Stegostoma tigrinum: one gene and its partners. The protein of the gene in region 1 interacts with the protein of each later gene in a pairwise test. Links are inferred from orthologs where the notes say so. Each region holds a gene or a part of one and is shown in the gene's direction. Other genes may lie near its edges.

The links.
Region 2: the proteins of fhl3a (region 1) and mrm3a interact in binary tests that used the Homo sapiens proteins (3 or more experiments, as listed by UniProt). The two-hybrid records come from large-scale screens. The link is inferred for Stegostoma tigrinum from reciprocal best matches to the Homo sapiens genes FHL3 and MRM3.
Region 3: the proteins of fhl3a (region 1) and patl1 interact in binary tests that used the Homo sapiens proteins (3 or more experiments, as listed by UniProt). The two-hybrid records come from large-scale screens. The link is inferred for Stegostoma tigrinum from reciprocal best matches to the Homo sapiens genes FHL3 and PATL1.
Region 4: the proteins of fhl3a (region 1) and uncharacterized protein CCDC198-like interact in binary tests that used the Homo sapiens proteins (3 or more experiments, as listed by UniProt). The two-hybrid records come from large-scale screens. The link is inferred for Stegostoma tigrinum from reciprocal best matches to the Homo sapiens genes FHL3 and CCDC198.

What each region holds. Positions count from the first base shown.
Region 1 is NC_081377.1:18,276,132-18,283,935, reverse strand, and holds the start of fhl3a (four and a half LIM domains protein 3), read left to right. Parts: upstream 1-4,706; 5' UTR 4,707-4,923; intron 4,924-7,804. UniProt on the Homo sapiens protein: Recruited by SOX15 to FOXK1 promoters where it acts as a transcriptional coactivator of FOXK1.
Region 2 is NC_081380.1:39,307,179-39,315,290, forward strand, and holds the start of mrm3a (rRNA methyltransferase 3A, mitochondrial), read left to right. Parts: upstream 1-5,032; 5' UTR 5,033-5,079; coding exon 5,080-5,375; intron 5,376-5,958; exon of another isoform or gene 5,959-6,033; coding exon of another isoform or gene 6,034-6,068; intron 6,069-6,228; coding exon 6,229-6,473; intron 6,474-8,112. Other genes in the region: glod4 (glyoxalase domain-containing protein 4), read right to left, coding at 875-964. UniProt on the Homo sapiens protein: S-adenosyl-L-methionine-dependent 2'-O-ribose methyltransferase that catalyzes the formation of 2'-O-methylguanosine at position 1370 (Gm1370) in the 16S mitochondrial large subunit ribosomal RNA (mtLSU rRNA), a conserved modification in the peptidyl transferase domain of the mtLSU rRNA.
Region 3 is NC_081399.1:4,433,058-4,440,124, reverse strand, and holds the start of patl1 (protein PAT1 homolog 1), read left to right. Parts: upstream 1-3,972; 5' UTR 3,973-4,081; coding exon 4,082-4,114; intron 4,115-4,268; coding exon 4,269-4,352; intron 4,353-7,067. UniProt on the Homo sapiens protein: RNA-binding protein involved in deadenylation-dependent decapping of mRNAs, leading to the degradation of mRNAs. Acts as a scaffold protein that connects deadenylation and decapping machinery.
Region 4 is NC_081363.1:49,545,049-49,552,985, reverse strand, and holds the start of uncharacterized protein CCDC198-like, read left to right. Parts: upstream 1-4,825; 5' UTR 4,826-4,942; coding exon 4,943-5,171; intron 5,172-6,408; coding exon 6,409-6,491; intron 6,492-7,937. UniProt on the Homo sapiens protein: May be involved in tuning the metabolism, energy expenditure, and excretion processes.

The sequences.
Region 1 (7,804 bases):
TTCACAGTATATATGGCTCAGAAAGAGGCCATTTGGTGCAAATAGTCCATACGTTTATAGTCAATTTGAGCCTCCTCCAATTCCTCATCTAAATCTACAGCCGTAAATGATACATTTCTTCCTCAAATGCTTGAGTAGTTCTCACTTAAAACCATCGGTAGTATGCTATTTGTTTCAACTGCTCATGTGGTAGCAAGTTCCACATTCTTACCATTCTTTGGGTATTGCGGTTTCTTCTAGATGTCTTGGTGGCTATTTTATATTGGTGGCCTTTATTTAAATTCTTTCTCAAAAGTGGAAATATTGAGCATAATTTAAATGTAATCCATGCGGGTTGAGACCACTGGTTGGAGGCCTGTTGGGAAAACTTTGTCATTCAGTAGGATGTTGAGGGGGAGGCAACTGAATGTAGTACCTAGCCAGTGTAGTAATTGGAATGCAGTCAACTGGGTGGGTCTTGTAGAATGTGTTCCCTGATTGGGGCTGTAAATCTGGGCCAATCAGGGAGTCCTGGCTGACAGATATAAACAGGAGTGTCAGGAGTTCTACTCACTCTAGGACATGAATTTGAACAGGCTGGGTCAGTGTCTTGTACTATGTGCATGTAAGTAAGGGGTGACTTGGTAACAGGATACCATCAACACACACTTGATCTATGTACAGTTTATGAATGGAAGAAAACTCATCATTGTAAACTCCCTTGCCTTTTCACTCTGTACTGTCCAGACAGAATGGGCTACAAGACACCAAGAAACAAGCAGAAAACACACCTTTCATGAGAGAGAGTTTTCACCTGACGTTCCTGTTGCTGGATCCTCTGTCAGTAGAAAGGCTGTTGCATGTCCTCCAAAAATTCACAACCAAACAATATAAGGTGCACAATTTGTACAAAAGAAGACACGAGAAAAATGAGTGCTTTGTTTGTCAAAAAGAGCAAAATGGTCACCTAATGTTCTTAGGGGAGAAAAAAAAGAAAGAAAGCAAATAAATAAACAGGAGTATTATGGATTCTACTCACTCTAGGAGTTGGCTCTGAACTAGTTGGGCCAGTCTCATGTACTATGCACATGTAAATACAGGGTGACTTGATGACAGGGTAGCAGCCTTCATCGAATTATTTCAGCCAATATCTCCAATAATTATCTCCTCTGGCACAAATATCCAGCGTGTCCAGAATTGTCAGCGAATCTGAGGCTAGCAGCTTGCTACCATTGCAATACACCACTAGGGGGTGGTGGAGAGACTTGAGACTGCAGCCAGAAAGACACCAAGCTGAGACATGACTGAGGGTGGGCAGCGGCGAAGGGAACACTGGTGTGAATGGAGTACTGACTAGACAGGGTGTCTGGGATGCTCAGCTTTGCCTCGAGGGAGGGTCTTGGCTCATAGAGGCAATCATTGGGAAAATGGCAAGACCTACATGCACCAGGAGGGAAGACACAGTGTATACGAATAGTTGTGATACAATGAGGATGGGCGGTGGATGGATTCAGGAAGTGTGGGCAGTTGGGAGAGTTTTGGAGATCAATTGCACACGAGTACTGGGGTTTGGGAATTCTGAAGAAAGCTATTGATGGAACTGTGGTCAGATTGAGTGTTGGCAGGAAGGTACAAGTTCTTTGATAGGTGAAAAGAGACTGTGTGCATTAAGGAGGGCCCTCAGTTGTTGTGGAAGAGTAAGCCACCACACTAGGAAGAGTGCACATTGGGATGACTAGTGAATATCAAGATCTCAGAATGAATAACTACAGTTGGGAAACACTCACTCTGGGTGGGAATGTAAATAGTTTGGAAATCTCTTTGGAAAGCAGTGCCAGGACAGATCAAGAAATAAAACAGAACTTGCTGGAAAAGCTCAGCAGGTCTGGCAGCATCTGTGAAGGAACAAACAGAATTAACATTTCAGGTTGGCTGCCCCTTCCTGCATCCGCAGTTCTTCCGTTTTTTTATACAGATCAAGAAATGTTTGGGAAAATGGGCCAGGGAGGTACTTAGTGGCGTGGAATACAGCCAGGATAGGAGATAGGAAATGAGTGCTTGGAACAGGTAAATTGATAATTCACAAGATCATGCAACTTTTGGATGTATTTTTCAGTTTCAGGAAGCAACTTAGAAATATTAAATATTTAAGATTGTTTTGATTTGTAGCAACACACGACATCTGATGTGGGATTTATGATTTGTGACATAATCTTGGGCATACTGACTGATGAATTCAACCATATGATACCCATTTTCCAAGCCAAAACTAGCTCAGTCAATCTCTAATTTAGCAGCTGGAAACGTGTGTGCATGTCTGTTCCAGGCAGATTGGTGAGGCAAATGTGTTCAGGGCATATGCTTGAAACGGGCAATTAATTTCAAAGCAAGCTGGGGGTTGGTGTGGTGCTCACTCTGTTTGAAATTCCCACAGCAGGTTGCTTTGCCCAGTTCTGCCTACATTCAGTAAAATCAGCTCCTGGGGCTGCATACAACCAAATTTATTTATACAAATTTATTTGCTTGAACACAGAGTCTAATTTTCTTTATACCTAGAGCTCCACCCACGCCCCCCTCCCACCACCACCAATCGCCTTTTATTTTGAAAGTTTTCCACTCGGCACACTTCAGATTCGCCTCGGCCTCCAACACTAGCCTCCTTGTCACTCACCTTTGGCACTCTCCACCAATATAAAACCTAACCTCTCAACATGCCCCAGCAACCACTCCCTCCTCCCAACATACATGTAACAGTTGCTTTCCGGAGAGACCACTCTCTCCGTGACTCCCTTGTTCGCTCCACACTGCCCTCCAACCCCACCACACCCGGCACCTTCCCCTGCAACCGCAGGAAATGCTACACTTGCCCCCACACCTCCTCCCTCACCCCTATCCCAGGCCCCAAGATGACATTCCACATTAAGCAGAGGTTCACCTGCACATCTGCCAATGTGGTATACTGCATCCACTGTACCCGGTGCGGCTTCCTCTACATTGGGGAAACCAAGCGGAGGCTTGGAGACTGCTTTGCAGAACACCTCCGCTCAGTTCGCAACAAACAACTGCACCTCCCAGTCGCAAACCATTTCCACTCACCCTCCCATTCTCTAGATGACATGTCCATCATGGGCCTCCTGCACTGCCACAATGATGCCACCCGAAGGTTGCAGAAACAGCAACTCATATTCCGCCTGGGAACCCTGCAGCCTAATGGTATCAATGTGGACTTCACCAGTTTCAAAATCTCCCCTTCCCCCACCACATCCCAAAACCAGCCCAGTTCGTCCCCTCCCCCCACTGCACCACACAACCAGCCCAGCTCTTCCCCCCCACCCACTGCATCCCAAAACCAGTCCAACCTGTCTCTGCCTCCCTAACCGGTTCTTCCTCTCACCCATCCCTTCCTCCCACCCCAAGCCGCACCCCCATCTACCTACTAACCTCATCCCACCTCCTTGACCTGTCCGTCTTCCCTGGACTGACCTATCCCCTCCCTACCTCCCCACCTATACTCTCTCCACCTATCTTCTTTACTCTCCATCTTCGGTCCGCCTCCCCCTCTCTCCCTATTTATTCCAGTTCCCTCTCCCCATCCCCCTCTCTGATGAAGGGTCCAGGCCCGAAACGTCAGCTTTTGTGCTCCTGAGATGCTGCTTGGCCTGCTGTGTTCATCCAGCCTCACATTTTATTATCTTGGAATTCTCCAGCATCTGCAGTTCCCATTATCTCTGATACATGTAACAGTAATTGATCCTGGCATTTCTTTACCCAACCAGATCTGCCATCATTTACCTGAGGGTCACTGCAATGTTGGAGAACTGGCTCGGTTTCATCTTCATTGGCACTGTTAGCCTGATGCCTGGGGTTTAGGTTGCCTTGGGATTATATCATTTGGGCACAGGGCAATGCACCAAGCTTAGAATTGGCCAAATTTCTACGTCTCTATTTTAAATCAATGCAATGGGGCTTGTTTGGTTTGGAGCTCATTTTTGCCAGTTACATCTGTGTTTCCTTTACTCCATGTAAAGTATGTAAACTGTTATTAAATATTTGAAATGTTTTACAAAATGAAAGGGCACAACCAGTTGGTCAGCGTCTGAAGAAACCGGATATGCTTCTGACTCATCAGGCAGGGATCCTGACTGGATCTTGCTGATGTGCTCCCAGATCTTAGTCTTGTTCAATCTTCCTGACAAACTTGTACATTTCTAACCATTTTCCGTTTGAATTTCAGATTTCACTCATCTTACTTGTATAGAAGCACTCGTTGCCTCTGCTGGTTCATAGTGTAAATTAGTGACATCATTAGGACTTCATTCATATTGAAATAGGTTACGTGTGCCCTAGGTACAAAAGCTACTGCATTTTGTGTTGAATAGGAATAAATCACCAGGGTTCCAGGGGATAAAACACATAATTTAGTTCTCGGGAAGGTTGGCACCAGATCTTTCCAGCTGCGATTCTCTTCAGGAGGAAGTAGCATTCACCTTTCTTTCGTTTATCTTGGACCAGGCTGCAGCAGTTGCCTCTTTGATATGATCACTTTGTTATAATGGGCGGATTGAGTAGGTGTTGATGGTGTTATCAGTGTGTAGTGATCGATAGGTCCAAGGTGCCATTTAGTCACACCTCGCGGCGTCAGTCAGTGGAAGGAGGCTCAGAGATGGTTAGTTGTTTGCTAATAACCTTGGCTTGGATACAAGGGTTTTCAGGGCGGGATCCCGTGAGTCACTTCCTGTACTTGTTGGGCCCCTAATCTTCCCTCTGTTCTGCCAGAGCCGTCAGAGCCAAGCCTGCTTCTCTTGCAGACTGTGTCAGGAGAACTCTAACCACTTCCCAAGCAGGAAAAAGCAAGACAAAGCTTTTCAGCACAGTGTGCCTTTGAAGCATTTATGTTAAAGCAGTGCTTTGATCACTGACCTGAGTTCATTGAAAATACAGTTGGTAAGTGTCCAATTTTTTTACTCTCTTGATATCTGACAATCTACTGTTACTAGCGCCGCTCGTGCAGCTTCTGACTCTCTGTTAGGAAACCACCTGGAGTTATGTGTTTTAGGTAGTGTTTCTAAAGCTCCCTGAATGTGCTTTGCCCTGCAGATTATACCCTGCTACAGTGTGGTTCCCCTGGCTATGTAAAGTCATTGAGGCCGTCGTTATGCGTAGATTAAAGCGGAGAAGAAACTGCACATTTTGTTGGCAGCTTCTCTTCGACTTTATGTGGAATGTACAGTTTACAACTGCACTTAAAGGGTCGCCTGTCTTTTTGCTGTTCCTGACCACTGCAATTACCCTTTTGGCGCTTCAGGGCAATTGGTCGTATTTTAAGCAAAATGCCATTAAGCGTCTCAGGTCATCAACACTCAGACACTACAGAACTGAACTGCTACAGTTTGAGGAAAACTGCAGTATAACTGCCTTAATCAGGGCACATGCGCCCACTGTTACTGAGACACCCACTGATTGACATTTACAGAGTAAATGTGAGCTGTGGGACTCCAGAGACAAGTTCTAAAGAGGGGAGTCGCTTTGCAAATTGCAGAGTTTTTCTTTTGAAAGTGAAGCGATATACATCGACTTTCAACAGTTTTACGAGTCCTGAAAGTGCTTCTCCCCCTCGCTCCCGTTATCCTGCTATTTCGTATTAGGTTACCAGCCCAGCATTCATCCTGGACATTCCCTTTTCCTCAGCGGTTTGGCGCAATTTGATACAAAGACATTGTCAAAAGCTAATCGCTTGAGGTCCAAAGAAACTCCGCAGTTTAGACGTTTCAGTAAATCTGTGGATTTTAATGAATGGCGAAGCCCTGCTATGATGCAATCTAGAATTATCCATGCAATCTGAAACGTTTGCGACGCAAAGGAGGAATTTGTCAATTTCGCTTGACGTTTCAAGCTTTCAAATTGGAACACAATTACTTCCAGTTTTAAGTGGAAAAAGATCTGCTGAGTGGATCGGGATGGCGAGAAGATGTGGGAATTGACGGAGCCATAATAAAAGCAAGACAGTGTGGTTTGGAAATAATTAATTTCTTAAAGCAGACCTCTCTCTTGAGTGTAGCACATACTCTGGGAGTCACCTTCCCACGGAAAATGTAGAGAGTACAAACGAACTGTAACTAGTTTCAGAGCAATGTGAAAAATGTGTGATTTCGGTGGGGTCTCTGGTAGACCCTGGTTTAAATATAATTTCCTCCAGCGCCAAGTTAACACACACGTTTACTATGAATGGGCGAAAAAAATGCATTGACAGTTTGGGCTTTTGATACCAGTTCAATCAATATTCCACCAGGAAAAGAAACCCCACCCCCAAATTTCAAGTTTGGATTAAACTGCTTGAACGGCTCGGTACTACAATTCAGGATTTTTTTAAAAAAATCACCGTTTTAATATCTAGATAATAATATTCACTGAAGTTCCAAAAGGGATTTATATATAAAATAGTTTGAGACGTTTGACATATTCGGCAATACATAGATTTCCATGTAAATTTAGAGGCTTCAAATGGCAATTATTTTTGGTAATCAAAGATTCTGACTGGAAATGTATACTTGCTGTGTCACTTTTCAAACAAGTGTCTGTTTCCCCTAGTTTTCCACAGCATTATACGCAAGTGGTCAATTAACATTAGTCCGCGGGTCGGGAATGTGACCCGGGACTGTAGTGGATGAGTATTAGAACCAAGATTATTTTTCCCTCTATAACCTTTAAACACTGAGGTGAACTACACTGGCCCCCATTAACACTCTTCCTGAGATGGATAATGCACTATAGATTATTCTTGTTTTGCCCTTGAATGATGAGGGAATGCTCAGGTGATCTGCTCCTTCGCTAGCCTGACAAAAGTTACACCCTAATTTTCAGAATACCAATTAACTAAATCTGACAGTTTTACAACTCTGTACGTGAGCTGTCAGGTGAGAGACAAACATTTGTATAGCGCTATTTATAATCTCAGGTCATCCCAAAGTATTTTACAGATGGACATACATTTGAAGTTTAGCCAAACAACCAACTTGCACTTAAAAGACTCCTCATTAACAGCAATGTAATAACGACTGGCTGATGTTTTTCTTGTGATGTGAAACAGTGGCAAGGACACCAAGGTTGTTGCCATGGAATCTCTTATGCCCACCTTAGAACAGAAGCAGAGCCTAATTTTAACCCTTGTTCTGCAAGATGGTATCTCTGACAGGATTATTCTCAATTGGCAACTTAGACTTTATGCCCAAGTCACCAGAGTAACCCTTCACAGAATCTCAGAAATGTCACAGCACGGAAAGAGGTCATTCAGCCCATCATGTCTGCACTGGCTCTTAAAATGAGCATCCATTGTCTGCTCCCAATTTCCTCCTTTTTTCCTATGCCCTTTGGACATTATTTCTATCCAAATATCCTTTAGACCTGCTGAGTTTCTCCAGCAATTTCTGTTTTGAATCAATTGAACCTGCCCCCACCACTTCCTGGCTATATTCCAGACGCTAACTACTCACTGTGCGGAAGTGTTTTTATTTGCATAACAATCTTTTACAAATCATTTTAAACCTATGCCCCTTGTTTTTCTTCCTTTTACAAGCCGAAACAGTTTCTTCCTATCTACTGTATCGAGTCTGTTCATTATTTTGGGAACTTCAATCGGATCTCTTAACCTTCTTCTCTCTAAGGAGGTCAATCCCAACTTCTTCCATCTATGCTCCCAACCAAAGTTTCTCAATCCTGAAACCATTCTTGTAAATTACTTCTGTGCTCTCCATTGCATTCACATCTTTCCCATAATGAGGCACCCAGATCTGCACGCAGTACTCCAGCTGAGGTCTAGCAAGTATTT
Region 2 (8,112 bases), on another chromosome or scaffold:
TGATCCTAGATGCCATTTTCTCCCCCCTCACCCTATCTTACCACCTGCAACTTAGTGAACAAATACCTCTGGATCCCCCTGCACTTGCATTACCTGTATAAACTGTATTTGGTTATATACAGGCCTTTATTTTTAAAACTGTAGGTTTGTGAAAAGTAATTTTGATCTGCAACTTTGAATTTAGGCTTGGGTTAGCAGGACCTTGAGTTTAACTGTACACTGTCAAAAGAACACAGAGATAGTAGGAAATGCAGATGCTGGAGCCTGAGATAACAAGGTGAGGAGCTGGAAGAACACAGCAGGCCAGGCAGCATCAGAGGAGCAGGAAGGCTGACATTTCAGGTCTGGACCCTTCTGATGCTGCCTGGCCTGCTGTGTTCTTCCAGCTTCACACCTTGTTATCAAAAGAAGTCCTTGTGTTTCTGCATGAGCTGTAGTCTGTGAAATTTAAAATAAAACAGGGACTTTATCATTTTAGTCAGTACTACTTACAGCCCAGATAAAGTAGGTCAGCAATTTGCCATACCACTTAATTTTAACCAGAGCTGTTCCCTTGGCATTGAAATGCTGCACAGAACATTTGGAGGTCGTGTAAACGCAGTTTCTGAACACATCATTTACCCAACCATAGAGATTAAACCTTTACACCCCGCACCTTCTCTGCGAGGATAGAACAGGCCTAACTTGCATTTTATTTTGCAGTGGCTGCAGTTATAACTGAAAAGGCACCATTTCCACTCAGCCCTCTCCAAGTCAAACAGGCTGAGTGGGGACAGAGCACTTAGGGTCACACAACACAGGGGCTGTCTGCCCAAATGATGCTGAAGCATTCCCTTCGGATTTACAAGAGTAGAATTAGAAACAGCAAACTCACAACCATGCCCAGAACATCCTTGTAAAATCTGGCAGTCCGAGCCCGGTCTCCCACTTTAAAAACAAAATGCAGCGCCCTTCCCAGCACCATGATGGCCAGGGATGAAGCTGCAACGTGCCTCACGTGACCGATTGATCATGTGATCGACCGATCACGTGATCCAACCGCGCTTTGCTACATATGTCCCTGGATCTCGTCGAGTGAAGTTAACTGTTCAAACGGCTGTAATCTCAGTGTTATCGGTTCTACCCTCCGGGAAACAAACAAGAAGCAAACAGCTTCCCAAACTCTGAAATAAAGTCACATGTACTAGAAACACCCATCGGGGTCATTTATAAGGAAGGATCATCGATCCTGAAACGCTCGCACTTGTTTCTCTCCACAGATGCTGTCAGACCTGCTGAGATTTTCCAGCAACTTCGGGTTTTTGTCTCTGATTTCCAGCATTCACAGTTCTTCTGGGTTTTCATTTCACTCTGGGAATGTTTCAAGTGGAAAGTTCCAGAGGAAGATGTAAAGATGGGAAAGAGAAGGTGTCAGCCCAGACCATTGTCTTGAGTGTCCTAATCAGACCATCACATGGTGGACGAATTATTAACGTGAAACTATTTGAGGAATGAAAACAAGTGAAATGCTTAGTTCAAGGATAATGTCGTGCGACTAAGGATGAATATCTTGGGCTTATCATTGACCAAGGGCTAAACAGGACTAGCCATATAAATGCTAGCTAGAAGAGCAGGTTAGAGGCTGGGAATTTTGTGGTGAATTACACACCTCTTGACTTCCCCAAAGCCTGTCTACCATCTACAAGGTACAAATCCCGAAGGTGACAGAAATATCCCCATCTATCTGAGTGGGTGCAACTCCAGCAAAGTTAAACAGGTTTGAGATACCTAGGATAAAGCAGCCAATTTGGCTAGCACCCTATTCAACACCTTCAATATTTACTCCCTCCAAAAGCAACGCACAGTAGCAGCAGTGTTGTTTGCACAGCAACAATTACTAAGGCTCCTCAGGCAACACCTTCTGAGCCCACAACCATTAGGAAGACAAGGACACTTGTTTCATGGGAACATCACCACCTGCAAGTTCACCTCCAAGCGACGCAACATCCTGACTTGGAAATATATCGCTGTTCCTTCACTGACACTGAGTCAAAATCCTCCCTAGCAAAACTGGAAAATTTTTTCCCCTTCCAAAAACAAAGCCTGCAGTTCCAGAAGAGGGCTCACCTTTACTTCTCCAGAGCAATTAGGGATGCGCAATAATACTGGCCCACTCAGTGAAGCTGACATCCTATGAATGAGTAAAAGAAATGTATATTACCAACAACTGTAAATCAATAACAAGTATCTTCCGCTGGATCTCTGGTTTTGCTTCAAATATTACCCTAACATTTGTGATGACCTGTCATGTTATACCTCAGGAAATAGCTAGACTACGATCTCTAACCCATGATAGTTAACATTAAATAACACTCAGCAATGTGAACACGGGCTCATTTATCCAGCCCAGAAGGAGCCAAGGTTAACAGTATTTGCAACAGATATGGAGAAGCTAATTTTACCTCGAGGCAGCTAGATTAGCATAACTGCCTTGCTCCAGGGGGAAAGTGAGATGTTATGAGCTCAGATCCCACCTTGGAACAGGCTCAATTGCTTCCACTCATCGGAGAGATCAAAACTTAAGGTCTATTTAAATCCAGTAAGAAGAACTTTTGTCTAGAGAGTGGAGAGAATGTAGAACTCTATCAGCGGGAATAGTTGAGACAAATAGCATGGATGTATTTAAGACAGGATTTCCCAAGTGGTTCATGAGCTGAAATCTTAGGACAGGTCACTTGGCAGTCACTCTACATCACAAACCACTTGTCTACCCACTGAGCTAACCAAACGCTGTGACTGATGGGGATTTTTTTAATCAATTAAAAGTTGACAAATGTTCTTTCCCCAAAAGCCCAAAAATACAAAGGAACCATCACAAATCAAATTGAAATGACATTTCAGGGGGATGCAGTAGTCAAAAATGTCAGTAAAACAGATTTCAAATTCTTTTCAATTCGATCAAAGAAACAAACAAAGAAACCTACAGCACAGGAACAGTCCCTTTGGCCCTCCAAGCCTGTGCCGATCAAGATCCTCTGTCTAGCCTGTCATCTATTTTCTAAGGGTCTGTGTCCATTTGCTCCCCGCCCATCCATGTACCTGTCCAGATACATCTTAAAAGACGCTAACGTGTCTGCGTCTACCACCTCCGCTGGCAACGCGTTCCAGGCACCCACCACCCTCTGCATAAAGAACTTTCCTCGCATATCTCCCTTAAACTTACCTCCTCTCACTTTGAACTCATGACCCCTAGTAATTGAGTCCCCCACTCTGGGGGGGAAAAAGCTTTTTGCTATCCACCCTGTCTATGCCCCTCATGATTTTGTAGACCTCAATCAGGTCCCCCCTCAATCTCGGTCCTTCTAATGAAAATAATCCTAATCTACTCAACCGCTCTTCATAGCTAGCACCCTCCATACCAGGCAACATCCTGGTGAGCCTCCTCTGCACCCTCTCCAAAGCATCCACATCCTTTTGGTAATGCGGCGACCAGAACTGTACACAGTACTCCAAATGTGGCCGAACCAAAGTTCTATACAACTGCAACATGACCTGCCAACTCTTGTACTCAATACCCCACCCAGTGAAGGAAAGCATGCCATATGCCTTCTTGACCACCCTATTGACCTGCGTTGCCACCTTCAGGGAACAATGGACTTGAACACTCAGATCTCTCTGTTCATCAATTTTCCCTAGGACTTTCCCATTTACTGTATAGTTCGCCCTTGAATTAGATCTTCCAAAATGCATCACCTCGCGTTTGCCCAGATTGAACTCCATCTGCCATTTATCTGTCCAACTGTCCAGTCTATCCATATTCTGCTGTAATTTCTGACAGTCCCCTTTACTATCAGCTACTCCACCAATCTTAGTGTCATCAGCAAACTTGCTGATCAGACCACCTACACCTTCCTCCAGGTCATTTACATATATCACAAACTGTGGTCCCAGCACAGATCCCTGTGGAACACCACTGGTTACAGGTCTCCAATTTGAGAAACTCCCTTCTACTACTACCCTCCGTCTCCTGTTGCCCAGCCAGTTTTTTATCCATCTAGCTAGCACACCCTGGACCCCATGTGACTTCACTTTCTCCATCAGCCTGCCATGGGGACCCTTATCAAACGCCTTACTGAAGTCCATGTATATGACATCTACAGCCTTTCCTTCATCAATCAACTTTGTCACGTCCTCAAAGACTTTAATTAAGTTGGTAAAGCATGACCTTCCCTGTACAAAACCATGTTGCCTATCAGTGATAAGCCCCTTTTCTTCCAAATGGGAATAGACCCTATCCCTCAGTATCTTCTCCAGTAGCTTCTCTACTACTGACGTCGGGCTCACCGGTCGATAATTACCTGGATTATCCTTGCTGCCCTTTTTAAACAAGGGGACAACATTAGCAAGTCTCCATTTCTCTGGGACCTCACCCGTGTCTAAGGACACTGCAAAGGTATCTGTTAGGGCCCCGGATCAGTTGCAGATATTTATCAATTTTAAAGTGGAAATGGTACCTACTGGCAAGGCTTGATGTGGAGGTGCTGGTGTTGGACTGGGGTGGACAAAGTCAGAAATCACTTGACACCAGGTTATAGTCCAACAGGTTTATTTGAAAACAGCAGCTTTTTCAGCGCTCCTTTTTCAGGTGTTGGTGAGAGACGTAGTATCAGGCACAGAATTTATAAGTAAAAGATCAAAGGGTCACACCATTGATGAGGATGTACTAAACAAACCTAAGATGCTGTTAAATCTTTAATCAATGAGAAGATTTTAATCGATTTAATTGAGATAACTGAAGGCAGTGTAATGAAGAGGTGACGCTTTAGGAGAGACAATGCATGTTAAGTATGAGGCCTTGCTTAGAATCTGTTTGTGTTTTAATTTGCAGTCAGATTGGTTTTATTTCTCGAGTAGAAATTGATAAAACGCCACAACGACTGACGGTCTCTACCTCAGGTAATGTGTTATTTTGAACTGGTTCTGGGAACGAGCAGCGAGACTTGTACAGGTCATGTGACCCCGGGGAACCGATAGAGGTCACCTGACTCTCAGGGGTTTGTTACATGGCCGCGCAGGCGCATTGGTGCCCGCCTAGCTGTCATGGCGGCGCTCTGGAGCAACGTTCCCCGGTGGGGAGCTGCTTTGATCCCGGGGGCTCGGCATCTCCGGGTCTTGAGGAGGAGGCCGATTGAGGTTCTGTATCCCCAGAATGAGGAGGCCGCAGCCGCTGGCCGGGCCGGAGAGGATCGTAGTCGCCCGGTGGCCGGGAGTCAGCGCGGCCCGGTGGCCAGGAACCCTGAGCCGGCCCCGAGAGGCCAGCCCCGGCCGCCCTTCGGCCCCCATTCCCTGGACGGACTGTCGTACGAAAAGGCGTTTCCCGGCGACAAGCGGCTAGCGTAAGAAATAGCGCTGAGAATTACGCGAGGGGAGCCCGAAACCTGGAGTCTTTCCCCTTCAACCCCCCACCCCATTCCTCCTCACAGCCTCTCCTGGTGTTACCGGTACTCCGTCACCCAGCACTAGCTCCTGGTCCTCCAACATCTCCTTTTTATTAATAACAAAAACAGAAACTACAAGGAAAACGCATTTATGGTAGCAGGGTCTCTGGAGCCGAGGAAACAACTCTGCTTCCTCTCCACGCTTGTTGCCAGGCCTGCTGAGTGGTCCTAGCAGTTTTTGTTTCTGATCCACGCCTGCGATTTTTTTTTTGTTTTCTCTCTGTTTTATCTTCAAATCCTTCCATGGTGTCATCCCTCCCGACATCTGTAACCTTCTCCAGCCACATAACACGCCACGATTTCCATCATTCTGTAATTCTGGCCTGTTGGGCATCCCTGACTTGAATGGTCTTCTCCCCGCCCCCTTCTCATGGAATGAGAGCACTACTGTCAAAGTAAAAATGTTGCCCTTGAAAAGCTGGAGCTGAATGGAGCCACTGTATCTGTGTGGAGTAGCCTTTGGTTAATTGCTGTCAGCTCTGGTGTTTCCTTTCCTTCTGACTGTAAGAGGAGTTGATGATTTGGATCTTTGGTTCCCAAACAATCCATTTACTGAATGATTATCAGTCTTGACTCTGGGTCTGCTAAAGGGTAAAAAGAGAGTTATTGTTGCCATTAGGGCAGCAACTGTGTTTATTAGGCTATTGCCAGTAAACACTGAGCCTGATGGATTGCAGTTTCTCTGTCATAACCATTTGAAAGTTCCCTTTTCTCTGTTTAGAACTTAATTATTGGCCTCTCCTTCCAATAGAAAAGTTGTGACCCTCGCCAAGTCCAAGAAGTTCCGTGAGCAGCACGGGAAGATCCTGGTGGAGGGTCGGCGATTGATAACCGATGCCTTGGAAGCTGGAGCGCTGCTGCAGACTGTCTTCTTCAGTTCAGTGGAGAGCCTGAGGGAGCTGCCTCTGGACAAACTGAAACGTGTCCAGTTAATAAAGGTCAAGTTTGAAGAGATCAAGATGTGGTCTGACCTTGTAACTCCCCAGGGAGCAATAGGTAAGTTGCCAAAGTAATTTCTTTGGATGCCCATTTTATTGGTGAGCCAAGGCTGTAAGAATAGTGTGGTGAAGGTGGTGTTTGGTACACCCTGCTTTTCTCCGTGCATTGAGTATAGGAGCTGGATGGTCATGTTGTGACTGTACAGGACATTGGTTAGGCCACTTTTGGAATAGTGTGTTCAGTTCTGGTCACCCTGCTATAGGAAGGATGTTATGAAACTCGCAAGGCTTCAGAAAAGATTTACAAGGATTGTGCCCAGTTTGGAGGGTTTGAGCTATACAGTGGGACTGGATAGGCTGGGGCTTTTTCCCTGGAGCATCGGAGACTGAGGGGTGACCTTATAGAAGTTTATAAAATAATGAGGGGCATGGTTAGGATGAATAGTCAAGTTCCCCAGGTTGGCGACTAGAGGGCATAGGTTTAAGGCAAGAGCTAAAAGATATAAAGGGCCTAATGGGCAACTTCTTATGCAGAGGGCGATGCATGTGTGGAATGAACTATCAGATGAAGTGGTGGAGGCTGGTACAATTACAACATTTTAAAAGGCATCTGGATGGGTATATGAATAGAAAGGGTTTGGAGGGATGTGGGTCAAAAGCTGGCAAATGGGACTAGATTAATTTAAGATACCTGGTCAGCATGGACGAGTTGGACGGAAGGGTCTGTTTCCATGCTGTACAGCTCTAAGACGTTATGCTGGGTGTCTTGAACAAGTTGTGATGAAATGAAGAAACAGTGGTCTGGAAAGATTGCAGCAAAAAGCAACCTTCACATATTACATTGCTTTCAAATGTTCCAAAAGCAGGAGTTATATCAAGGTGAGTGCGTATAAGAAACAAAAATTGCTGACGGACCTTTCAAAATTCCTCTGTTGTCCCTAAAATCATGGCTGCTTTGTTACTGTAATCCTTAATTTCCAGCCTATCCCCTAATACACAGAAATCTATTGAACCTTTGTTTTGTTTTTTCTTGAATGTACTCAGTCTCACAGGATCCAAGCTGTATTAGAGAATTCCGAAGGTGTGCAACCCCTTTTGATGACGTTCCTCCTTATCTCTGTCCAAAGTCCTTCTGAGGGTACCATGACCCAGTGTTCTCGTGTTTCTAACTACAGAAGCGTTTTCTCAGTACCCATCCTGTTGAGAGTTTTTGCACGTTCCAGTGAGATCTCCTCTTTCTCATCTGCAGGAAATGTGGGCTTGATATGTTTAATCTTTCTTCCTTTGGTTAATTCTCTTACCAAAGGTGTGAGCTAAGCAATTGTTATCGTGTTCTCCTTAGCCAAGAATGTATTTCCTTGGGTCTGTTTGTGCACAGCCACATTCCACAAAGCATTGAAATTTAATTGTGATTTTCTCTTTCATCCCAACTTTTGATGGGAGATGGAGGGATGTGAACGCGATGACTCCTTGCTTTACATCGGGTGATGTCTTGGCATCTTTAACCCACTGTGGAGCTCTACTTCAGACATTAATTTTCCCTGTGATGAACTGTACCTGTCGTATAGCAGGCTTTGAGCTACTGCAGAGAGAGAGATCCTTGTTAAATAGGTTCAGCAGAGGGTAGGGTCCCCGTGCATGCGTGCTCTCCCATTGGGTCCTTACACACTTGCAGAGAGACGCAATCAATCGTTGCA
Region 3 (7,067 bases), on another chromosome or scaffold:
GGTCAGGATTCGTTGCAGTTGTGCTTGAGAACATGGTAGTGAACTGCATTCCATCTGCTTTTAGTAGACTTACACAAGGAGGGAATTCCAGCATTTTGATCCAGTAACAGTGACGGAATGATGATATATTTCCAAGTTAGGATTGTGACTGGTTTGGAGGGGAATTTGTAGGGCGTGGGATTCCGGTGTATCTGCTGCCCTTGTCCTTTTAGGTGGAAGTGGTCATGGGTTTGGAAGGTGCCTTTGAAGGATCTGTGGTTAATTTCTGTAGTGAATCTTGTAGACAGTATGCACTATTGCCACTGAGCATTAGTGCTCGAGAGAGTGGATATGGTGCCAATCAAATGGGCTGCTTTGCCCTGGAAGGTGTTGAACTTCGAGTGTTGTTGAAGCTACTTCCATCCAGGCAAGTGGAGAGCATTCAATCATATCCCTGATTTGTGCCCTGTAGATGGTGGACGGGCTTTGGGAGGGTCAGGAGGTGAGTTACTCACTGTTGTATTCCTAGCCTCTGACCTGGTCTTGCAGCCACTGTACTAATTTGGCAAGTCCAGTTGAGTTTCCAGTCAATGGTAATCCTCAGGACATTGATAGCCAGGGTAGTGTGGATTCAGCTCCTACATCATAAGGTTTTAAGCTTCTTGAGTGCGCACATCCAGACAAGTAAGGAGTATTCCCTCACACTCCCGACTTGTGCCTTGTAGATGGTGGACAGGCTCTGGGCAGTCAGGAAGATGAGTTGCTCACTGCAATAGTGGGGATTAGTCATGGTAACTTAATTGAATATTCAAGGGGTGATGATTACATTGCCTGTTATTGGAGATGCTGTTTGTTTTGCATTTGTGTGGTGCAAATATTACTTGCCACTTATCAGCGCAAGCCTGAGTATTGTCCGGATCTTGCTGTATTTGAACATGCACTGTTTGAATATCTGAGCTATCATGAATGGTGCTGAACATGTATAATCATTGGCAATTGGCCTGTGTGGCACCTTATCAAATGCCTTTGGGTATGTAAGTTCGCCTTCAGGGCCTTGAAACATCAAGATGTCTTAGAAAAGATATTGATCAACAGCTACTTTTATCCAACTCAGCAAATTGCAAAAAGTGCACAAAGCATGAGTGAGGGCGATAGAATTGGAGGTGGTCCTCCATAGATGTCCAAGCTAACAATTCAGGAGAAAATTTCAGTGATCAGTTGTATTTTGACATTCCTGGTGATTTTGAGTCCCTTGATTCAACTAGTCTGGTGTTTATAAAGTCGTGTGATTACCAAGATTATACATTCTAACCAAGAAACACGTCAGAAGCGGAACAGGATGTAATACCAGAAGTTAGAAAAGTAGTGCAGAGGTCACCAGGTTGTCTTTCATTTCCCCAGGGTAGAGGACACCTCATTGTGATCAACAAATATAGCAGACTAGATTAAATGAAGTGCAGGTGAATTCCTGCTATCTCTGGATGTTGTGTCTAGGGTTTCGGATAATGAAGGAGGTGGTAAACAGTCAGACAGTGTACCACCTTGCATAGCATGAGAGGGCGCTGCAGTGTTGAGAGCAGAGGACAAGTGAACTGTGTTTCCTGGGGAATGGTCATGCGGATTGCTGACAGGTGTGGGTAGGTGATAGACATCTGGTGGCACCCTGACCCCCGAAATGGTGGCTTATGATGCTTCGGATATGAAGGTTGGTGGGTGTTTCTGTTTTTCAAATCTCCATCTCCCACAGTTATTTGTTGGATTATTTTTCTTGGAACCTATCCAAAGTACTCTGAATTCTCTTCCTCATGGCCATCTCTGCCAATCTGCTTTTCCCAAATCTACATTAAGATGAACAGTAGCCATGGTTAACATACTACCTTTGTTATAGCTGCTGTTTACGGACCTCTTTACTGCTGCTACCAGTGCAGCCTTCTCCTCGTTATTTCTTACCACCACCCATGTGTATCTTGTACGCTGTAAATAAAAATCATTTCTTGTCATTCTACTTTCCTGTACCAACATTTCCAACCACCATCCTTGCTTCCTGTCTGTTCCTTTGAAAAGCCATGTAGCCCTGAATATTTATTTCCCAGCTTTGAGTTCCTTGTAAATAATAATGGCTATAAAATCATACCCATTAACCTGTGGTTGGGCATACTCTGAATGTTACATGCATTCAAGATACTGTCTGTGACAAAGCAGTCCACTTGATTTGCACCGCATCCACAAATATTGAATCCCTCCGTGACTAATGCTCTGTAGCTGCGTTATGTACTGTTTGCAAGGTGGACTGCGGAAATTCGCCAAGTCTCCTTTGGCAGAACTTTCCAAATCCATGACTGTTAGGATTTAGGAGGAGAAGGACAACAATTCTAGTTGAGCACGCGTGACAACAAAATCTAATTCCAATCACTTTGGCCCTAAATACATGGGAACACCACCACTTTACAAGCAACTCACCATCCATACATAGTTGAAGATTGGAATGTGTACAATGTTGCCATGTGTGAAATGGAATCAAGAACAGTAAGCAGTTAATCCCAGAATGACAAGCTGACCAGACCTATGCCCAGTGACTCTGTGAGATATGGAGACATGCACTCTGCGCAGTAGTTTTGTGACGTGGAGGCCAGAAATGAGCACAGTAACTCCTTTTATTAAATGAAGGTGATGACAGTGTGCAGCAACTATCGTAGTGCTTTTGGGACCAAAACTCTGTAAGTGAAAACAGAGTGAATAGAAGCGAGGTAGGCAATTTGGCCTAGCAATCTGCTCTGCCATTCAACCACCATGACACCATTTTCCCACACTATCTCGGTATTCTTTATGACCTTTAATGTCCAAAAGTTTCTTGATCTGCCTTTGGAGTATTTTCAATTCAATATTTTCAATACACTTGAGTCCTCTTGGGTCGAGAATTTTGAAGATTCACCACCCACTGGGTCAGGAGTTTCCAAGTCATGTCAGTCCTAAATAGGTTGGCTGTTTTTCCTGAGACCATGTCGGCTGGCTCTTGACCCCGCTGCCTGCCAGGGGAGTGTCCTTTCTGCAACTTTCCTCCATGCTTCACTGGACTTGTCTGCCATTTTTCCAGACTCTTGAGGGCGCAGGTCCAGTTTCCTCAATTCCTGAGGAATTCCCAAGTCTCAACGTGCCAGTAACGATATGTATCTTCCTGTTTCAGTCCCTCGATGACAGCCCAATCGAGGAAGATGAAGAAGCTCTCAGAGAGGAAGATCATGATATCGACCAGTTCAACGAGGACACGTTTGGGCCTGGGGCAGTGGGTAAGTCAAGGCCTTTGCGATTTGTTCAGATGCCCACTCATTGTTCATTTTCAGATATTCTATTCTTGACTCCCTCTACCTCTGACTGCCCTTACTGTGACTGGGGTCTAGCTGCCGCTCACACTGTGACAACACAACAGTAGCAGTGTGTCTGGGCTCTGTGCTGTAAGTGCTGTTCCTGGGGATGCATACCAAGTCAAATAGAAACTACTGCTGGTGGAGGGTCATCAGTTTGGTGGAAAGCACTGATTTAACTGCTGGAAGCTTGTGAGTTTTTGACCCACAGCAGCCCCTTAGTCCAGGAACCCATCAACCCCTTTGAGAAGTACTCTAGTTATTAAATGCAGTGCAAGTATGTTGAAGCACTTACTGCAATATGCTCAATGGAGATAATGTTGAGCATTGTTGTATTTTCTGTAATGCCTTGTTTGAATTGTTTTGGAATACACTATTGGCGATTTTATGAAAAAGCTACAGTCTACAAAAGATACTTGAGAACTCAGATTTGAGGAGGTCTTTGAGTATCAGTACATTGGCTGTGTGTTATGGGTGACTGTCTTTAGGCAGTGGGCCGATTATGATTTGGGAGACTTGTATTTACGGTTGGATTGCTCCTGAATGAGGAAGTTAGCTCAGAACGAAAGCCTAAGCTCCATCTGATGCTCTTGAGTTTGGCTTTTGCAGAGGACTGGGAGGAGCAGCACGATGGCCTGGGCGATCCGACAGGAGATCCAGACGACCTTTTAAAGGAGAACAACTTGGCGGAGAGCATCAGCAAGCTGGTCATCGACAGCGACCTGGAGGACCCGGCCATCATGAGGGCAGTGCCGTCCCACCCTCCGCTGCAGGTGGGTCTAGCCTCGTGTTTGCGGTGTCACACAGCACCAGCTCTCTGTCCCTCCTTGTCCAGTTTCAGTCAGGCTGGATTTTAGAGAGACACTGCTGCTGTATGATCCCTACCTGTTTAAAAGTCTCTCACTGACCCCTGCAACTTGCTCACAGGCACCCCCTCGACTGAACTCGAGCATGTGGGAAGGGCCCATGGTGTTCGGTGGAATCGGAAATCCTTTTCTTTCCCACTTAGAGGTAAGTAGATTTGCTTGTTTATTTCACCTCGATTTCTGCTAACTGAACTTTGCTGCTTTCTTTGTTAACAGCATCAAAATTAATTTCCTGCAGCTACTGCCTGAGGATGTGCATTCCTTTGGAGAACAGTCCTTCTGCTTATTTAAAATTGGGTTGGGGGGGGTGGTGGTGTTGTGATGTTGGTGGTAATGCATGGTGTGTGTGTCTCGTTGACTCATCCCTATAAAATAGGAGGTGCAGTTCAAAAAGGGGAGCAGGAACAGGGCGTATAAATGCACAGACCATTGAAAATGTCAGAACGGGTAGCAACATCAGCAAAGAAAGCACACGTTTTCGACTTTTTATCAGGAGGGCAGGGAGTACAATAAATCAGACCTGCTGCAGATAGATTACATGCTAAAAGTGGCAAGGATGGTGAATAAAATTGTTATTTAGAATTGGTAAAGTTAGTTAAGCATTAGGATGCTTTGCTGGAAGAATGAAATTGAAAAGAACTATACGTATAGAGGTTGGTAGAATTGTGCTCTGTTCTGACCTCTTTTTAAGAAGGGTTGAGGAGCATTGGAGTAAGTGTAAAGCAAATTTGAAAGGGCAATATTTAGCTGAAGTCATCCAGTATGTGACTAATAGGGCAGGTGTTGTCCGGGCTCTGACCCTGTGATGATAGTTCATTTTCTTAGCAATATTGTTGGTCAACCTGGGAAGAAATCAAGGTGCTTTATCTGTCTGTGCACACTCAGCACCAGCTTACAACTAGATTATGGTTTATCCCTCATCCCCAGATGTGTTACTGTGGTCCTCACACTCAGTCTCTAGTCTGCAGCTGATTTAGACTGATCTCTCACCCTCAGCATGTTAGTGAAGCCCTGAAACTCAGCCCTCAGCTTATTGTTGAGGTGGTCTGATCGTACATCCCCACTTGTGGCAGGATAAGGCCCTTGCAGCCCTTTCCTAGTGTAGATGCCAATCATCAGTCAATTCAGTTCACTCCGCATAATTTCAAGAAATGGTCAGACATACTGAAGAGGCTATGGGCCCTAACAGCATTCCAGCAATAGTACTGGAGACCTGCGCTCCAGAGCTTACCACTCCCCTCACCAAGTTGAACCAAGCAGGTGAACCTGACATTAGTGGTGGGCAGGTTGTTGGAGGGGATTCTGAAAGATAGGATTTACATACATTTGGAAAGGCAAGAGCTGATTAGGGATCGTCAACATAGCTTTGTGTGTGGGAAGTCATGTCTCTCTAATTCGATTGAGTTTGAAAAGGTGACGAAGATTGATGAAGGCACAATGGTAGACATTGTCTAAATGGACTTTAGCAAGGTGTTCAGTAAAGTTAGGCATTGTCAAGTGGTTAGCAAGGTTGGGCCACATGGAATCCAGTGGGAGCTGGCCAATTGGGCTTGAAGCTAGGAGACAGAGTGGTGGTGGAGGGTTGCTTTTCAGACTGGGGGGCCTGTGACCGACCAGCGGTGAGCCACAAGCATCGGTGCTGGGTCCACTGCTTTTGAATGATTTGGATCTGAATACAAGAGGACTGGTTAGTAAGTTTGCAGATAACACCAAAATTGGGGTACTGGACAGTGACCTCAGAGTACAACAGATGGAATTTAATTTTAATAAATGTGAGGCTTTGCATTTTGAAAATACAAACCAGGGCAGGACTTGTACAGTTAACAGGAGGGCCCTGGAGAGTGTTGGTGAACAGAGACCGGGAGAAGCAGGTGCATACATGTGCATAAAAGTGGTGTCGCAGGAGGACAGGATAGCAAAGAGGGTGTCTGGAATGGTTGCCTTCATTGGTCAGTGCATTGAGCACAGGAGTTGAGATGTCAGGACATCGTTCAAGCCGTTTTTACGATACTGTGCTCAATTCTGCTGTCCCTGCTATCCAATGGATGCTGTAAAACTTAGAGTCATAGGGATGTACAGCATAGAAACAGACCTCTTCAGTCCAACTGATCCATGGCATAAGTGTGTGCTATTTCTAAGATGCACTGCAGAAATTCACCATACCTCCTTTGACTGTACCTTCCAAATGAATGGGACAGGTAGATAGCTATGAGCACCCCATCCTCAAGTTCCCCTTTAAGCTCCTCATCATCCTGACTTGAAACACACTGCTGTCCCTTCAGTGTCATTGGGTCAAAACAGTGGAATTCCATCCCTAAAAACGCTTGGACTTCTTTTTATTCATTCATTCACAGGATGACTGTATTGCTGGCTAGGGCAGCATTTATTGTCCACCCCTAATTGCCCAGAAGGCAGTTAAGAGTCAGCCACATTGCTGTGGGTCTGGAGTCACATGTAGGCCAGACCAGGTAAGAATGGCAGTTTCCTTCCCTAAGGGACATTAGTGAACCAGATGGGTTTTCCCAACAATTGTCACTGGATTCATGGTCATCATCAGACTCTTAATTTCAGCAATTTATTGAATTCATATTTCGCCATATGCCGTGGCAGAATTCGAACCAGGTCACCAGAACATTATCTGGGTCTCAGAATGACCAGTCCAGTGATAATACCGTTAGAGTGCAGTGGTTCAAGAAGGTAGCTAACCAATGCATTGTCAAGAGCATCTAGGTACAGTCAATAAATACTGGTTTTGATGTAGGAAAAACTACTGTCCCCAGAGAGCAATGAGAATCTGAAACTTGCAATCACAGACTGAACTTGGTGTGAGCAGTGTTACAGTATTTAAGGATAAGCGCAG
Region 4 (7,937 bases), on another chromosome or scaffold:
AGTATTACTTTTTGAAGCAAAGATCTATGGTATACAATATAAGTATGACAGTTAATAAATTATTAAAAACAACATTATTGCAATTTAAAGTTTATAAAATTACATGGGAATGGGTGTTAGTGTCAAATAAAGTTTTTGTAAAGGTCCTTGCATTGGGTTTTTTATTATTTATTTAATGATATGGTCTTTGGTTAAAAAGAACATTTTTTCCTTTTGATTGTTGTTACTGCATTCAGTTGTATTCTAACACAATCAAAATAAAAGACTGATAGAGCACATGTAAAAGTGTCCTGCTTTTTCATATATTTATCACACTGTGACTATTTGAACACTGTTTAAATGTCCCAGTTAATGCATGGGAAATTTGTGCTGTCAGTTCTACAAATTTTTTTAATGTTTTTAAAACATGGGCAAGGAAACCTTCAGCTGATTACCACGCCCAATCCTCCCTCAGCTGGTGATTCGGTACTCTTCCATGTTGAACAACACTTAGAGGAGGCACTGAGGATGGCAAGGGAACAAAACGTACTCTGGGTGAGGGATTTCAATGTCTTGGGAGCAGTACGACTGATCAAGCTGGTCGGCTCCTAAAGAACATAGCTACTGGATTGAGTCTGCGGCAGATGGTGAGGGAACCAGCAAAAGGGGGAAACCTATTTGACATCTTCCTCATCAATCTACCAGCTGTAGATACATCTGTCCATGACAGTATCAGTAAGACTAACCACACAGTCCTTGTGGAGAAAAGGTCCTGCCTTCACATTGAAAATAACCTCCATCATGCTTCGTGGCACTATCATCGTGTTAAATGGGACAAACTTGAACACATCTAGCAACGCAAGACTGGGCATCCATGAGGTACTATGGGCTATCAACAGCAGCAGAATTGTACTCCAGCACAATCTGTAACCGCAAGGCCCGGCATATTCCCCACTCAACCATTACCTGAAGATGAGGTGTCAACCTGGTGCAAGCCACCAAAGAGGACTAGTTTCACCCCAAACAGCAAAAGCACCAAGTGATAGAGCTAAGCAATCCCATAACCAACTGATCAGATCTAAGCTCTGCAGTCTTTTCGCAGCAATCTTCAGCCAGAAGTGCCCAGTTGATGATCCATCTTGGCCTCCTCCAGTGGTCCCCAGCATTACAGATATCAGTCTTCAGCCAATTCATTTCATTCCACCTGATATCAAGAAACGGTTGGAGACACTGTATACTGCAAAGGTTATGGGCTGTGACAACGTTCTAGCAATAGTACTGAAGATTTGAGTTCCATAACTTGCTGCTCTGCTCACCAAGTTGTTCCAGTGCAGTTACAACACTGACATCTACCTGGCAATGTGGAAAATTGCCTAAGCATGTCCTGTACATAAAAAAGCAGGATAAATCCAATCAGGCCAATTACTGCCCTATCAATCTCCTCTCAACCATCAGTAAAGTGATGGAAAGTGTCATCAACAGTGCTATCAAGCAGCCACTGCTCAGCAATAAACTGCTCAGTGACACCCAGTTTGGGTTCCACCAGGGCCATTCAGCTCCCGACCTCATTACAGCCTTGGTTCAAGGGCAAAAGAGCTGAATTCCAGAGATGAAAGTGACAGCCTTGACATAATGGCGGCATTCAACCGAGTGTGACATCAAGGAGCCCTGGCAAAACTGGAATTAATGAGTATCAGAGGCCAAACTCTCCAGTGTTTAAAGTCATACCTGGCAAATAGGAAGATGATCGTGGTTGTTGGAGGTCAATCATCTCAGCTCGAGGGCATCTCTGCAGGAGTTCCTCAGGGTAGTGTCCTAGGCCCAATGATCTTCAGCAGCTTCATCAATGACCTTCCTTCCATCACAAGGTCAAAGGGGGGGATGTTTGCCAATGATTGCATAATGTTCAGCACCATTCACAACTCCTCAGACACCAAAACAGTCCATTTCCAAATGCAACATGATCAGGGCAATATCCAGATTTGGGCTGACAAGTGGCAAATAACATTCATGCCACACAAATGCCAGGCTATGACCATTAGCAATAAGAGACTATCTAACCATCATCACTTGATATTCAATCGTTACCATCACCGAAGCCCCAACTGTCAATATCATGGAAGTTATCATTGATCAGAAGCTCAACTGGACTCACTACATAAACTCAGTGGGCCACAAGAGCAGATCAGAAGCTAGGATTACTGCAGTGTGTAACTTGCCTCCTCTCTCCTCAAAGTCTGTCCACCGTCTACAAGGCACAAGTCAGGAATGTGATGGAATATTCCCCAGTTGCCTGGATGGGTGCAGCTCCAAGAACGCACAAGAAGCTTGATACCATCCAGGATAAGGCAGCCCGCTTGATTGGCACTACATCTACAAGTATTCACTCCCTCCACCACTGACTCTCCAGAGCAGCAGTGTGTACTGTCTACAAGATGCACTGCAAAAATTCACCAAAGATTCTCAGACAGTGCCTCCCAAACCCACAACCAATTCCAATTAAAAGGACAAGGGCAGCAGAAAAATGGGAACACCACCACCTTCAAGTTCCCCTTCAATCCACTTACCATCCTGACTTGGAAATATATTGCCATTCCTTCACTGTCACTGGGTCCAAATCCTAGGGTTCCCTCCCTAATAGCATTGTGGGTCAACCCACAGCAAGAGGACTGCAACAGTCCAAGAAGGCAGCTCACAACCACTTTCTCAAGGATAACTGGGTATGGGCAATAAATGCTGGCCAGCCAGCGATGCCCACGCCTACAAATTGGAAAAAAAAAGGTCTTTAAAATGAGACTGACACATGGCAAGGGCTCTCTATGCTGCAAAAGATACATTGTTTTGGGGGGGATACAGTGCAGACGTGCTCAAGTGATACTAGAAACAGTAGGGTTAAATTATTAAGACTGGCAACATAAATGTGGTTTGCATTCTTTTGACTGCAGAAGCTTAAGCAATGGTCCAATCAACTCTTGAAAATGTTAAAGAGATTCAGGACAACAGGTATAATAAATCTATTTCCTTTAGTTGGGGATTCCAGGACAAGTTTGAGAATATTAGTAAAAAGGCCCAGAGGACCTTGAGCATTAACATAGAGGCATGGAATAAACAAGGAAATTATTATGCCTCTTTATAAACATGGGTTTGACCTCAACTTAGAAAGGGAGTATAAAAGATTTATGCAAAAGTTTCATGGATGAGGGATTTCAGTTAAATGATACAAAAGCTAGGATTAGTTTTAGAGAATATTGAGAGTTGTTTCAAGTTGTTCAAATTTGTGATTGATCGAGTTAGGGACAAATTGCTGTCATTGGTGAAAGGGTCAAAAAGCAGAGGATACTGAGTTAAGATGGTTGACAAAATAATCAAAGGCAACTTGAGGGAAACCATTTTTATGTAGTTCAGGGTTTTGATTTGGAATGGATTGGTGGATTCAATCATAGCTTTTGAAATGGAAGTGCAATACTATTTGCAGAGAGCCAGCATTGGCTTGAAGGACCAAGTAGCTTTCATATGTGCTTTGTCTATTCTATAATTTGATAAGAGGTACAATAAGTTAATGAAATGAGGAAACACTTCTTAGCTGACCTTTGTCAGAAGTTAACAAGTGATTGAGAAAACATATGGCATATTGACCTTTATTACAAGAGGATATGAGTATTGGAGTGAAGATGTCTTATTGCAATTATGCAGATCTTTTGTGAGTTCACATTTGGTATATTGTGTATGATAAAAACCAAAAAAAACTACGGGTGCTGTAAATCAGGAATAAAAACAAATTTGCTGGAAAAGCTCAGCAGATCTGGCAGCATCTGTGAAGGAAAAAACAGCGTTAACGTTTCGGATCTGGTGACCCTTCCTCAGAGCTATATTGTGTGTGATACTGGTATGTTTACCTAAGGAAGGATATGCTTGTCACAGAGTGAGTAAAACAAAGGTTCCCCAAACTAATTCCTGGGATGGTTGTTTAGTCCTATAAGAGGAAATCAGACGAGCCTATATTCCCTGAAGTTTAGAAGAACGAAAGGTGATTTCATTCAAACAGGGGAAATTCTTACAAAGCTTGACAGCGTAGATACAAGAATGATGTTTCCCCTGGTTGGGGTGTCAAGAACCAGGAGACACAATCTTAGAGGCAGGGGCACACCATTCAGGACTGAGCTGGGAAAGAATTTCTTCACCCAGAAAGTGGTGAATCTTTGAAATCCTCTGACCCATGAGACTATGGAGGATTGCTGTTTAATTATGTCCACAATTGAAATTGATAGATTTCTACATCTTAAAACAGAATCAGGGATAGTGCAGGGAAATAGTGTTGAAGTAGATCAGCTATGATCTCCTTGAAAGGCAGAAGAGACTCAGGGCTGAATGGCCTACTCCTGCTGTCATTTTTAATGCTCTCAGAGATGAGTATAGTATGCCAGGATGAAGATGGGGAATGAAATTTTCTGAGCAATATTGAGAAGGGCACAAGAAGGCTCATTAGATTTGAAAGATTAACCCTGCTTTCTCTTCACAGATGGTGCCAGTTTCTCCAGCAGTTTATGTTTGTTTCAAATCAACATCCGCAATACTTTGTTTTATTGTCACAACACGACCTCTTCCGTTAACTTTTCCAGTGTGCCCTTCGATGGTAAAATAAAGACAGCGATGAACAAAGTAAGGAGCATGCTATCCAGATGCAAATTGCTTTTTAAGAGCGGATTATTCCCTGCCAGTGTTTGTAGGTCAGGCATGACTGAGTTCAGCATTTCAGAGACTTGGGGGGCGGGTGGCTGCAGACCGGAGCGGGGATGGTAACTCTTTAACCCGAGATGGAAGAGTTTGCAACAGGGGCGTTACCTCGGTAACAGAAAGCCTCCCCGGGGAAGCTGTAGTTGATTATAATGGAAATCTCCAAGGCAGACTCAGACCGGCACCTCACACACGCTTGTCCTGATGCTTAGAGAGTGCATGGGCGAAGATGGGTTCGGGATGGTCAAGAGGCCAACGCAAGCTGATCCAGGTGAGGCCGCTACCCGCAGCCCAGGCGGCTATTTGCCCCGGAGTGCAGCGGTACGGCAGCAGCCGGGTAGACAGCTCGCTTGTGATACACGACCACCTGAAGGCAGCCTCTCTGCGCCGAGGGAGCGAACTTCCTCCCCTGAAGGAGGTGCGAAATGGCACTCACGCACTACCCAACCTCAGGCAAGGTAGGTGCAATGTGGGCTCGGAGCGGGGAGGGGGCTTGAGCAATGTCAACGTTCAGCAGGATTTATAGTATTCACTCTCTCTGAATCGTTTTTTGTTTTCACAGAGGATGATTAGCGAAAGATTCGTAAAGTTGGTGTTTTGTACAATCTCCAGATTATTTAGTTCCATTACTCCGTTGGGCGGAAGAGCAGCCTTTTACAAGAGAATCTGTTTGTGCAAATACATTTTCCATTCAGCAGCTTTTCAAGTCCATTAACTTCTGTCTCCACAGTTGATTGTAATTTCTTACAGATCAGGGAGCTCAAGGATTTGTCAGTTTCCTTGTGCATTTCACTTTGTTAATTATTATCCAAATTTACATATAACTTTAGCGTTTGTTTCGGCAAAAAAGGTCATTGGTGTTTTTGTGCTGCTAGTGTTTGACATGGCGACCTGCGAGGACGCTTGGAAGTGCTGTCCATCAGAGGAATTTTGATGTGGCAGTCCACAGTTTCTTGAAGGCAGCAGGTCGGCTGGCGAAGGAGCATGTAGGATACTTGCCTTTATTGGTCAAGGTATTGACTACAAGACCAGGGCAGGCTACGATGAAGCCGGAAGGAAGATGAGTTAGGCCGCAGCTAGAGAGCTGTGTGCAGGTCTGGGCGCCGCTCTATAGTAAGGATATGATTGCACCAGAGATCACCAAGATGTTTGAAGATAAAGCGATCCAGCTATGAAGAGAGACGAGATAGGCCCATCTCTGGAGAAGGGTCTAGGACCGAAACATACTTCCTACTTCTCAGATGCTGCTTGGCCTGTTGTGTTCATCCAGCTCTACACCTTGTTATCCGAGATAGGCTGTGTTTTTTCTAAAGATGGCTGAGGGAGACGCAGGGAACCTGATTGAGGTATACAAAGTTATGAAGGGCATAGCAAACTTTCCCCTTAGGAAGGGGGTCACTAATGGGGTGGGGAGGAGCTGCATTGGCACAGATTTAAGGTATGCAGCAGTAGATTTAAAGGGAATTAAAAAAAATAAATCACACAGGTAAGAATCATCAAAACATTTCAGAAATATTTAGATATCTACTTGAAATGCAAGTGTGTATAAGGCAATGGGCCAAATGCTGGAAGGTTGAATTGGACTTTAATATAATGCTTGATGACCAGCATGGATGTGAATGGGACAAAGGGCCTTTTCCTGTGCTGTAAAAACTGTGTGACTCTATGTTTTTCTTTATATTTTCACCTTTCAAGTACCTCGTGCCTTCTCATTTGAAAGCAGTTTGGATGATGGGGAAAGGAGCATCATCAAAAAACATCCTCCCCGAAAATTTGAGGTGAGAAGTATTTGAACTAAATTATTTTGCAGCTGTCAACATGCCGAGTCTGTTGTAAATTAGTCAAAAAGTAAGAACAGACAGAAATTCTAGCTGGTATCATGTCCTGGGAAATGACTGTCCTAACGCTCAATGGTGAGGATAGTTGGAGGCTGGATGTACACTGAATGATGTTCACCTGGAGCATGTGGAATTGAATACATGGGAATTGTACAGTAAATGGAAACTCTTGATGGGCGGTTACCTGGTCTGGAACTCACTGAAAGGCTCCCCGATTGAATTAGAACTGAAGTCTTTGGAAAATTCAGACTGGCTTCATGGAATCCCTGCAGTGTGGAAGCAGGACTTTCGACCCATTGAGTCAAAACTGACTCTCTGAAGAGCATCCTACCCAGACCCACACCTTACCCTATAAATTCCATGGCTAATCCTCCTACCCTGCACATCCTTGGACTGTGGGAGGAAACCCCAGCACCTGGAGGAAACCCGCACAGACACAGGGAGAATGTGCAAACTCCACACAGTTGCCAAAGGCTGGGATCGAATCCAGGTCCCTGGCACTGTGAAGCAGTAGTGCTAACCACTGAACCACTCTGCTGCCTCAACTTGCCTGAATATTAAGTCAGGAATATCAGATAAGTTTGTTGCAGTACTACAGTGGCCTGAAAATTTGTTGGAGCAGGATTGACAGGAGTCATGTGTAGAACCCTTGAGAATTGCCCAGGAAGTTAAATTTTCTGATGGGTGATTGTCCTGCGTCTGGACTCCTTCAAAAGAGTCAATTAATGTCAATTAATGGAGGGCTCAAATTCATTTAAGCTCAATAGTTACTCTAGAAAGGTAAAAAAAACATTTCTTTGCCATTGGTAACTATCAACTCTTCCCCCAATATCATCATTGGCACTACGACAGCTGCTGAACCCTAACATACCCAGAGTAACATCCTATACCCCTAACTTAACCCCCTTCTTCGCTGGCCTGTTATTGCCACCCTCTCCTTCACTTCACCTCTCCCATCACCCAATGTGTTCCTATTGATGCTAAGATCCATCATCCCTGACCCAAGCTGAACGAGAGATCCAACCCCACCAGCACTGCCTAAATCCCCAATCTACTTGAGCTGGTACCATCTTCCCACCCAGTCTGGCCCTGCTGGACCCAATACCGCTCCCTGACAATAACTGTTCCTCCCTGCAACCTACCATGAGCACCCTCCTGGTACCCTACCTCCCTCATTTACCTAGCACCCTATCTCCCTCACTCACCTGGCACAATGTCTGTCTTACTTTACAGACTTACTGTCTTCTCAGTTATTGTTGGTGGTTTTGGGGCCTTTCATTCCTGAAATACAGCATCATGTCATGAAAAAGAGGCACGTTCTGGCCTGTAATGCAACTCTGACATTGGGTGATTTTCTGCCTGCTTATCTCCCATGGATGCATTCAG